3 linked regions of the Mus musculus genome follow. The protein of the gene in region 3 interacts with the protein of the main gene of each other region in a pairwise test. Links are inferred from orthologs where the notes say so. Each region holds a gene or a part of one and is shown on either strand. Other genes may lie near its edges.

What was found.
Region 1: the proteins of Ndn (region 3) and Zbtb1 interact in a two-hybrid assay, tested with the Homo sapiens proteins (2 studies listed by BioGRID and IntAct). The link is inferred for Mus musculus from reciprocal best matches to the Homo sapiens genes NDN and ZBTB1.
Region 2: the proteins of Ndn (region 3) and Ssx2ip interact in a two-hybrid assay, tested with the Homo sapiens proteins (2 studies listed by BioGRID). The link is inferred for Mus musculus from reciprocal best matches to the Homo sapiens genes NDN and SSX2IP.

What each region holds. Positions count from the first base shown.
Region 1 is NC_000078.6:76,369,580-76,373,328, reverse strand, and holds the start of Zbtb1 (zinc finger and BTB domain-containing protein 1), read right to left. Parts: upstream 2,810-3,749; 5' UTR 2,599-2,809; intron 2,233-2,598; exon of another isoform or gene 2,085-2,232; intron 1-2,084. Other genes in the region: Zbtb25 (zinc finger and BTB domain-containing protein 25), read left to right, coding at 3,138-3,749.
Region 2 is NC_000069.6:146,428,546-146,432,194, reverse strand, and holds part of Ssx2ip (afadin- and alpha-actinin-binding protein), read right to left. Parts: intron 1,267-3,649; coding exon 1,116-1,266; intron 1-1,115. UniProt on the Homo sapiens protein: Belongs to an adhesion system, which plays a role in the organization of homotypic, interneuronal and heterotypic cell-cell adherens junctions (AJs).
Region 3 is NC_000073.6:62,346,699-62,350,438, forward strand, and holds Ndn (necdin), read left to right. Parts: upstream 1-1,578; 5' UTR 1,579-1,709; coding exon 1,710-2,687; 3' UTR 2,688-3,230; downstream 3,231-3,740. UniProt on the Homo sapiens protein: Growth suppressor that facilitates the entry of the cell into cell cycle arrest.

The sequences.
Region 1 (3,749 bases), on a different chromosome or scaffold from region 3:
GACAAAAGTGGAGGGAGGAGTGTGGAGGAATGAGGAAGCAGAAGGTACAAACATTTGGCAGCTACTATGACATAGAAACACACAGTCCTGAGCAGGACTGGCAGCACAAACCTGTAATCCTAGCACTGTGGCTGCAGAAGCAGGCACATCCCTCAAGAGGTTGAGGCCAGCTTGGTCTACAAGAGTGAGACCCTGCTTCACAAAAACAAAAACCCCACAAGGTCAGAAGGCTGGGGTGGAGGTGCAGGCCCGTTATCCCACCACTAGGTGAGAGGTTGAAGCAGGAGGACCAAAAGCTAAGGCTGGCCCCAGACCAAACAGTGAGACTCTAGCTTTAAAATACAAAACAAAACAAAACAAAAAAACCCCATAAAACAGCCGTCAAGGTGATCCATGCTTTTAATCCTGACATCCAGGAGGCAGAGACAGGTGTATTTCTGCCTTTGAGGCTAGCCTGGTCTACAGAGTGAGTTCCAGGATAGCCAGGGATACACTGAAAAACACTTGTCTGGAAACACCAAAAACCAAGTTACAAGATCAGGAAGCTGTGCTCGTGGCCTGGTTAAAATGGGTTCTTTCCTGACAACGACACAGCAGCAGTGGTGCAAACCAGCAGGCATAATGTTAGGAACTGGAAGAACACAGCCAGCTGGAAAGACTGCTCAACCAGGTCTACTCAACAGCATGAAAACTGAGGCTTTGGGTTTTTAAATTTTAATTTCTAATGATGTGTATGTATGTGGGGGGAGGGGTGTGCACATGAGTACAATTGTTCTAGAGTCCAGAGCTCCCTGGAAATGAAGTTACAGGTAGTTGTGAGCTGCTTGGGATGGGTGCTGGGAGTCAAACTTAGTTCTTCTTGAAGGAAAGGCAAGTGCCCTTCACCCCTGAACTATCTCTCCAGCCCTGAGTTTTGTTTTTTGAAAAAAAGGTCTCGCTATGTATGCCAGGTCCAGGTTAGCCTCAAACTCTTGATCCAACCTCTTGAAGTGCTGGGATTATAGACGTGCACAACCACACCCTATAAAACTTGCTGTCAACGGAGAAATTCTGGTGTTAAAATGAGTGCAAGTGGCTGGAACACAGCACTGTACCGCAGAACTTCTAAGCCTTAACCTTTGGAAAAGCACTGCACTGCACCTCGGCTGCGTTAGGTCCGTCTGTTTCTTTAAGAGGAAGAAACCCCATGCAGCTACCAATGCCACTCAGTATTACTGAGACTTTAGGGGATAGTGATTCAAAAGGGAAGTTTTACAGTTCTAGGCAACTGACCATCCATCCATCATTTGGGCTTCAGCCTCTTGTACCTTCATTCTTTCCATTTCTCCAGATCATATCCATTTGAGGTGACAAAATTCCAGAGAACCTATTTTATACCTTTTAAAAAACATGGTTGCTTTAAAACAGTCATAAGAACTACATCGATTTCCCCAGTCGACTTCAGGGTGCCTCAAACTTCGGCTCAAGAAATTCTAAGTGGTCTTGGAAAGCCTCAGAACAAGCCTATCACCCCAAAATTTAGGATTTCCTGAGGCAGGAGAATTATATCCAAGCGATCCTGGGCTACCTAGCCAGACCTTGTCTCAAAACGGGGTGGGGGTCGGGGGGAAATGCTTGGAACGCTTTGTGGATTCCAGTGTCAAAGGGGAAAATGTTGCCGCAGCGATTCATACTGTACGGAAATACAGTCTGACCAGTGGAGAATCTACATGTACCGTCACAGCGACATTCGATTTGGGAACATGATCACACACATACAAAACCCTATCCCCAGAAAACAAGGACTTTCATTAACCTGTTCTAGACCCGTCCGAGTTGGAAAATGTCTTGTCAAGCCCTCAGATCACGTGGACGAGTGGCTAAGGTGGAAAGGGAGCCTGGGAGCGGCGGCTGAGCCCAGATCCACGCCTGCACGCTTCAGCAGCAAGGACTCCAGATCGCCACCCAACTAGCTCACCGCCTCCACCAGAACTTCTACTTGTAAGCGCCCACCACTGGAGGCAAAAAGCACTTTCTTCTCGGGACTCGGGGGGCGGGGGGGAGGATCTCGTACACAGAAAACCCCCCAAACCCCCGAGACCTACCACTTTGGACCCGAACAAAAAGCGTGTGTGCTGAGGAGCGGGGGTGGGAAAGAGCGAAGCAGGAATCCGCGCGGCCCAGCCGCCTCCTCCCTCGGAGCGCGCCCAAGTCTGCGGCCTCCGGCTCCGGGACGCTCCCCTCCCACCGGCCGCCCAGCCGCAGCTGGAAGTTAGCGAAGCGCGCTCTGGGCCCGTCAATCAAGCGCGGCCTCCCGCCTCCACCTCCCCTCCCCCCACCCCCCCAGCACAAAATAAAATAAAGGGAAAAGAAGTAATTTGGGAAGTCGTCTGGAGAGGGGATTCGTCCGGAACCCGGAGAGGCCGCGCGCACCGGACTGACGGCCGGCCCCGAGCGAAGCCGCTCGGCAGACCCCCGCCACCGGCTCCTCGCCGCGCGCTTTCCACGCTCCGGCTCCCCGCACCGGTCGGCGCCGCCTCGGCCACGCACTCCGCCAGGCCCGTGGCCCAGCTTCGGCCAAAGTTGCGCAAATGGCCCCGACGACTGGCAGCTACTCACCGGGCGCGGTGGGACGCGCGGCTGCGGAGGTTTTATGGAGTTGAGGGCAGCGGAGCCGCTGGGAAGGCGGGCGGAGGCGAGGGGCTGCGGGCTGCAGTTGACGGCGCGCGGCGCTCGGCTGGGCTGCGCCGAGACACTCCGGGCTCTGCCAGGGACTGCGCTGCAACAAAGGACTTCCGCTGCCGCACAGCCGCGCCTGCCGCACCGCACTGAGCCGGCCCCGCTTACGCGGCGACTCCGGGTCTGCCCACCAGTTCGCGGCGGCGTCCGCCAGCCTTCCCCTCCCTCTCGCCCGCCCACCCACTCCGCCGCTGGCGGCTAGGGGCACCCGCGGTCGCCTGTTGGTTGCAACAAGTTTCTGCGTCGGGCCGGGGAGGCTGGCACTGCCCGCAGCGCGGGCGCCCGGGCGGCGGCGGCTGGAGCAGCACTGTCGCCCCTCTCCCCGGAGTCGGCTTGGCCCTCCTCCTGTTTGCACAGCTGGACGCCACTGGGATCCTCCCGACTCCCCCAGGGCTGGATGCCGATCGCCCTCTACCCAGATGTCAGACCCCTGTCCCGCAGGGCCCCGCAGTTGGACCCGCCCCCGCGCTCCACCCTGGACGCCTGGAGGGGGGGGTGACACTCTCGTCCCGTCCAGCCTAAAGCCTGTCCGCTCGGGGTCCTCCGTGCCCCCCGACTCCTCTTCGCGTGGGCCCGCCAGCCTCGGGCCTGAGTCACTTCCCCCGCCATGCCCCGCCCGGCCCGCCTCCCTCCCTGGCTCCCGCCGCATGTGGCTGCCTGCCCCGCGCCCTCGTCCCCCTCCCGCGCCAGACGCCGGTGCATCCTTGCCCGTCCCCACCCAGGGCCGAGGGGGCACCCGTGGTTTTTTTTTGTTTTTTGGGTTTTTTTTTTTTTTTTTTTTTTGCACACGCCGGGGAAAGTTCCCAGGTCACGCCAAGACGTGTGGGGAGCCAGTGACGCTCGAACTTGTCCCCACACTTCCGCCTCCAGTCACGACTGGGGACCGTGGCAGAGGCGCGCCCGGAGCGCGGGGCCGACCCCCGCCTTGGCCACTCGGGCGGGCAGGCAGGCGCGCGCGCACGCACGCACGCACGCAGGCAGGCACGCACACTAGCCGGGGTGCCGCTCGCTTCCCGGCAGTCCGGTCACGT
Region 2 (3,649 bases), on a different chromosome or scaffold from region 3:
CACCCTTCCATGGCCTGTGCCTCAGCTCCTGCCCCGCCCTCCCTTCCTGACAGTCTGTGAGCTGTGAGGTAAACAAACCTTTTCTTCCCATGTTACTTCTGCTCTTGTTCATCAAAGCAAGAGAAACGCTAACTACAACAACTGGAAGCTAACAGGTCTCACAGCCACTGCCAGCTCACAATCTTGAACAGACTTTTAAAAATCAAAAGACTGCACAACTTTTGCCTTTCTGGGTTTTGTAAGAAGGAGTTATTGTCTCTGGCATTTTGCATTTTCAAAACTGTGACAAAATCAAACATTTTAAAGAAAAACAGCTCCGAGTTCTGACAATGTATATATAGTCACACAATTTTAGGACCAAATGGATTTCAAGGCAGCACGGCCGCTAACCCTTGGCTTATCAACTACAATTATTCAGACTGGCATGACGGTGCGATGCCTCTGTTCTCACCTCCAAGTCTTTAGGAGCTACTGGCTCAACCACAGAAGGATGCTAACAAAGTCACAAACGTATCAACTTTCTTGATGGTGCTTGGGAGAGTGGTACTAACAACTGTGAGTTCACATTGTAAATCCAGGCAAGCTTTCTAATAAACGGACTGAGAACATGAGCACACTTCATCCAACTCGGTGAGGGAGCTGCAGTGAGAACCACGCCCTTTGCCCTGCACAGCTCGTGGCACTGGGACCAAGACTCACTGGTCTCATCATTTCCATACGTTTTAAGTAGACTTCACTTACTACACAGAAATGTTAGTGCTGGAGAGACAGCTGAGAGGGTAAGCGTGCACTCTGCTCCTGAGAGGTCCCTGGCTCCCTGGCTCTGCTTCCAGCACCCCTGTTAGGTGGCATACAGCTGCCTGTGTAAGCTCCCGGGGAACCTATATTGGCATGATAGCCCCGTTTGCTGGCACACAAACAACACTAGACTATGGGCGACACTGTTCTCTAAGGTTTGTTCTGAAGCCAAGTGCATTTCTCTCAGTGAGTGCAAAACCAGGAGCAAACCAGGCAGAGTCTGACCCTGGCTGTGCGCAGACCTCTGAGCCCACAGCACTGCTGTTCCTGGGACTGAACAGCAGCACCCCCTCTGCATGCCCTGGGGCAGTAGTTACCTTGGTTATCGAGTTTTTCTACATGACTTTTCAAAATTCTCCACTGTTTCCTGATGCTGTTTGTCAGCTGCTCTCTCACAGTGTCACAGGAAAGGCCCCACACGCTGTCTCTGCTCAGTTCCCCAGAGTCATCTTCTATATCGGAGATAGCCTACGGCACAGACGGAATAAAGAGCAGCTCGCAGTGGCTGTACACCAGGGCACCGCATCTGACTGTTAAAATCTCTCCATTAACTAATACCTAATAACACTGAGGACACAGACACTCCCCAATCCAGACAGATCTCTTCCATCTGTCTGAAGAGAGGCAGCCCCTGTCTATGCAATACTGTGCTGAATACTGCCACAAAGTCAATCCTCTAACTGTGCATAAAGGCAGGATGCAGGCTGAGAGAAGCAGGCCGGGGCCACAGAGCAAGAGGCAGGACTGGGATCTGAGTTGCGTCTCTCAGTGAGAGGCAGCTCCACTAAATAAGCTGCAGAGATTAGCTATAGTTAGACCACTAATTCTCATTCTCTCCATATCATTTCATGGTTACCATGTTTCTCTCTGCTGTATTAAGACATGAAATTATAAGAAAATGTACCAATGCTGGTAAGTTATCACAGAGAAACAGTACCAAAGGTGCAGGTCAGACATGTGTCTACATGAAATATCCCTTATTTGTTATTAACACCCAAGGAGGGCAGAAATACTTGAATAATTTTAAAAAATACCTGCCAGGAGTGCCAGGAGCCATTTAGGAGAAGCTAAGAACTAAGAACTAGCAGGTGACCTTCTGAGATGGTTCCCCTAGGGACTGCAAAGCCATGACAGATTCGCTTCTTTTAGGCAAGGCCAAGGAGATTACATTTGAGGAAAGATTCCTGCTATTAATATGCTTTTCCTGTTATTAAATATAAAGCAATCACTAGGTATTGACCCACCCTTCTGAGCAGATCTCTGCAGATCTACAAAGAATCACTATTTTGTAGTGATGCTATATAGACAAATGGTTCTGTGGAATTCCTGATTTGTTCAAATAACTTTAGGAAAAGAGTTTTTAAAGACGGTCTTAGCTGCTAGAAGGATGTAATAACGTTAGAATCAGGAATAGACTCTGACCTCTCTTCCTAACAGGAAGTACAGGCTCCACAGTAAGAAACACATAATCACACTTCCATAATCACACTAAAAGAGAAATGGACTTGGGACAATTTGTGTTCAAGAAGAAACATTCAGGTCCAAGGATAAAGTCACAGTGTGCACTATGATATAAGGCAAGGCCATGTAGAAACTATTGGTTTGAACTTACAATGAGCATAATAGAATGAAACATTGCTTTGAACTCATTATCAGCATCCTTCTGCAATTCCCATTTTCTGTAACATTTTATCTATGAAGTAATTCTCACAGATAAACAGTGAACTTTTTGTCTAAGAAGGTATTAAAAGGCCAGAGAAAAGAAATAAAGTTGTTGAATTGTTTGGCTTGGGGGGCTCTGACCTATCTATCCATCCATCCATCCATCCATCCAAGTGTATGTCTGTCTGTCTATATGAATGTGTGTAGGTATATGTATATATGCAAGCACACATAAATACTTGTGGAATTGATTGTGACAGACAGTCAGGCCTGGCCAGCATGTGAGCGTATGAATGCATGTGTGTCTGTGCATATTGGCCTGTGGGAAGCATCTGAATTCGTTTCTTGTCCTTTCCTTGCTCTCTGGTTCACAGAGAGCTAAGGAGCTTACAGAGCGGCTTCTGGCGACTCACCAGAGAAGGGAGCACTGGCAATGGATCCCTTTACTTAGTTCCCTGCTGCTAAACAGCAAGTGCCAATCTCCAGATATCAGCACTTACTAAAGCACAGGTAATACAGAGTTAAGTTTCAGCCTCAATGAAGCATGGAACAGTCAGAGTTAAATTTCCCTAGTGCTTATTTAAGTCTAGAGAACTAAATAACTCTTTATGCTTAATAAAACACAGAGTTAAAAACAAGTCAACAGTGTTTAACCACAGAATAAGCAAGAAAGCTTTTAAGATTTTTTTAAAAATAAGTTATCAGCAAGCATTTATTACAGTTAGAGAGCTAGAAGGCCGGAGACCATCAGTCTTTAAGCTATGTTGGATGCTATATCCTGCTTCAAAACATTCCAGGCCAGGCTCGCTCCCAGAACAGGAGAAAGAAGGCAAAAAATTAAGAGAAGGGAAATTAAATTGGGTCCCCTCAGTCAGATGACTGGGTCACTCAGAGATGACCAGTTTAGAGCGGGATGGAGGAGGCTGTGAGTGAGCACTAGGGTGTAACAGCTCAGGTCTGAGCAGAGCTTAGATAAGGGCATGGATCTATGTATATGGTGCACACTGGATCTATGTACACGATGTATGTACATCAGCAGTCTTCAGGCCTGTGACCCCCTGCCGCCTCCTAGAATACAGCCTGAGTATCCCTCAGCTGAGACACCTGGAGCCTGCGCACTTGGGACTTAAGATACTTTTATATTCGTGCTACTCAAAGCTGCAGCTGTGGCACAGCTGGATCTCTATTT
Region 3 (3,740 bases):
AATTAATGAGCATCAGAGAACTAGAGCACTTTTAGCCCAAACACATAAAATCTCAAATATATACAATCTGAAACTTTTTCCAGGATATGCAGGATGTCACAAGTGAAAAATTCCACATCAGAGCTCGCGGAGTAGATCACAACTGAGAGAAAGTGTTGCCTTCAAAAATGTCAATAAGAAGCAAACTAATAACACGTCTAGGCTGGAGTTTAAAACAAGTTATTGTACATGTGCAAATATTCTCAAATCTGGAAAACTCTGAATCGCTTCTTGCCATAACTATTCTGGGTAAAAGATAGCTGTTATATCTAAACAAACATATTTTAGAACCTAGGAATGCCAACATGATATCTTAAATCTGTCCGCTTTAAGTGATGAGAAGGGCTAAGGAATTCCATTATTTCAGAACAAGAAAGATGATCAAATCTAAGGACTTCTGGCTTTGGAAGCTTCAACAATGGTCATTGTATAAAGGAGAGTTTGAGGAAATATCAGCTTTAGATGACCTCTCGATCTACCTTTTTATTTTTGGACACCAATATGTTGCATCTTATTCATGAGAGACTGTTAGGTATCGAAAAGAGCTGCATTTAAAATATATTGGGAAAGATTTGGATGTGCTCCCAACATGGAATTAGTCATTTGTGAATGACATAATTTAAGAAGTAGAAGATTTCTTATAAACGCAGAAGATGCAGTGAGCAGGGCAAAAAGGTAGTGGGAAAATATGAAAAATACACTGTCATAAAATGTGTATTAATAAATATGTTGATCATTTTCCACTAGAATCTTAACGGAAGCTTTAGATGAAAACAAAGTGACCTAATAGAAATGGAGAGCCCAAATCTATAGTTATTAAAATAATTCAAAACCAACAAACTGAGCATCCAATGATGAATGAATGCATATATATATATTTTATATATCCCTCATTTTCATGTGGGGCCTGGGGGATTTAAATTCTGGTTCTCATGCTTGAACTGCAAAAGCTCTTAACCACTGAACCAAGTCTCATTTTAATTAAAATTTTAAACTCCCATCAATTATGCTATATGAATCTACTACTTCTAGAACATTCAAATCTCACATGGATTTATCTCCAGTGTCTGTAACTACACTTTACATTCTTCCTTGTTTGATCTGCATTCAGATATGTAAGAATTTATCTCTATTAATAATTTCTCAATATTCCAATCTTAAACAACTCATCATCATCATAAGGTACAGCTTTCCAAAAGAAAAAAGAAAAAAAAGTCATTTCTGTTTCTCTTATTCTTTTGTAGAAAAACCAAAATCAAGAATTAAGTCTTTCTCCAGGACCTTCACATTTAATTTGATTTTGCACAAACTCAGTGTGTCCGAACTTAACTTCACCATCTCAGCTACATCTTTCTCCTTCAACTTGTTTCTTTCCCTACCATCATCTAGTTCTGTGCCATACAGGAGACCAGGAAATCTTTTACATAAGCCTAGTGGTACCCTCCCTTAGACCCCAGTGGTTGGGCTTTGCTGCTTCGCTCCTTTCCAGCCCTACCACCCTTCTGGCTTCCCAACACGCATGCGCAATATCGCATCAGCCCCGCCCGCCCGCTGCTGCGGAAGGCGCAGTGCTCAGTAAAGCGCACTTCCTCTGCTGGTCTCCACCGAGGGAGTGCCCGCTCCAAGAGCTCCAAGCCGCATCGGTCCTGCTCTGATCCGAAGGCGCAGACATGTCGGAACAAAGTAAGGACCTGAGCGACCCTAACTTTGCAGCCGAGGTCCCCGACTGTGAGATGCAGGACAGCGATGCCGTTCCGGTGGGGATCCCTCCTCCCGCTTCTCTGGCCGCTAACCTCGCAGGGCCACCGTGCGCTCCCGAAGGCCCTATGGCAGCCCAACAGGCCTCGCCACCGCCCGAAGAACGGATAGAAGATGTTGACCCTAAAATCCTGCAGCAGGCCGCAGAGGAGGGCCGCGCCCACCAGCCCCAGAGTCCAGCCCGGCCGATCCCAGCACCGCCAGCCCCTGCCCAGCTGGTGCAGAAGGCGCACGAGCTCATGTGGTACGTGTTGGTGAAGGACCAGAAGAGGATGGTCCTCTGGTTTCCAGACATGGTGAAAGAGGTCATGGGCAGCTACAAGAAATGGTGCAGAAGCATCCTCAGGCGCACCAGCGTCATCCTCGCCAGAGTGTTCGGGCTGCACCTGAGGCTGACCAATCTCCACACCATGGAGTTTGCCCTGGTCAAAGCCCTCAGCCCAGAGGAGCTAGACAGGGTGGCGCTCAACAACCGTATGCCCATGACAGGCCTCCTGCTCATGATCCTGAGCCTCATCTATGTGAAGGGCCGCGGGGCCAGAGAGGGTGCGGTCTGGAATGTGCTGCGCATCCTGGGGCTGAGGCCCTGGAAGAAGCACTCCACCTTCGGAGACGTGAGGAAGATAATCACCGAGGAGTTCGTCCAGCAGAATTACCTGAAGTACCAGCGTGTGCCCCACATCGAGCCTCCCGAGTACGAGTTCTTCTGGGGGTCCAGAGCTAACCGTGAAATCACCAAGATGCAGATCATGGAGTTCCTGGCCAGAGTCTTCAAGAAAGATCCCCAGGCGTGGCCTTCCCGATACAGGGAGGCTCTGGAGCAGGCCAGAGCTCTGCGGGAGGCTAATCTTGCTGCCCAGGCCCCCCGCAGCAGTGTCTCTGAGGACTAAAAAGGTCCAGGGGCACACTGATAGTTTCTGACCCATACTAGGGCTGTGTAAGGGTGGGGTTGAGTCATTAGAGTATCCCAAATCCACAGTGCAGTATTTCATGTATAATTTTTAAGTTTTCCATACAGTGCTTTTGTACCTTGTAATGCTATTCATTTGTGTACTCGTGTAGTGTTTAAGATTGATGCATGTGTGATAAGTATTTGGTACTTTCACTTTTGTGCTTTCGTGCATTTTTGTACAAGAGATGTGCTGTGCTAAACTTGTGAAATACATTGAGGTGTTCTGTATCTTGTTCTTTGTATGGGACTGATGATCTGTATCGACAAAGAAGGCCCTGGAGAGTTAGCAGGACTTAACAGCAACGCAGACCTGAGCAAGAGAAAGGTCAAGGCCTTTCTCCATATGACTTCAACTGGCACAGGAAGCATCCATGTGGAATGGACTGATTTGAACTGGACTGTTCTCAGTGTAGGCACTTAGCACCCTTTACAAAACATGTATGCAACCCCACCATAAATAAACGTTAAAATGAGCATTAAAGATACTGTGAAATAATTTCTTGGGGGGGGGGAGGAGGCATTTATTTTTGATGAAAGGGGGAGTGGGAATGGGTGGGGATGAGAAAGATTCTCCCTGTGTGCAGCATAAGCAAACACGGTGTCCTAACACAGTGGGAGACCACACGACCACTCAGAAGAAACTTGCAGTGCTTTAATCAATTTGTCACATAAAAGGTATAACAACAACAACAAAAAAGCTCATTATCACATAACATGGGGATAATAACAGGTATATGGAGGGCCTGCCCCTTTTCTGTTGCATTTTTTAAAATAGTCTTTGATGGACACTTTAGCAGAATAAACCCTTATCATGCATTTTCTTCTTTATTTTGTCCTCCCACCAGCCATAAGAAGTAAGGAATAACTGTATCATCACAGAGCAAGAAAAAATAAAAGGGGTGTTGGTAATGAACTATCCTAAAACCTTTATACAGGAGTCTTGACACCAAGCTCCCCATGGCCACCACTCACACACGCACTCTGGCCTCCC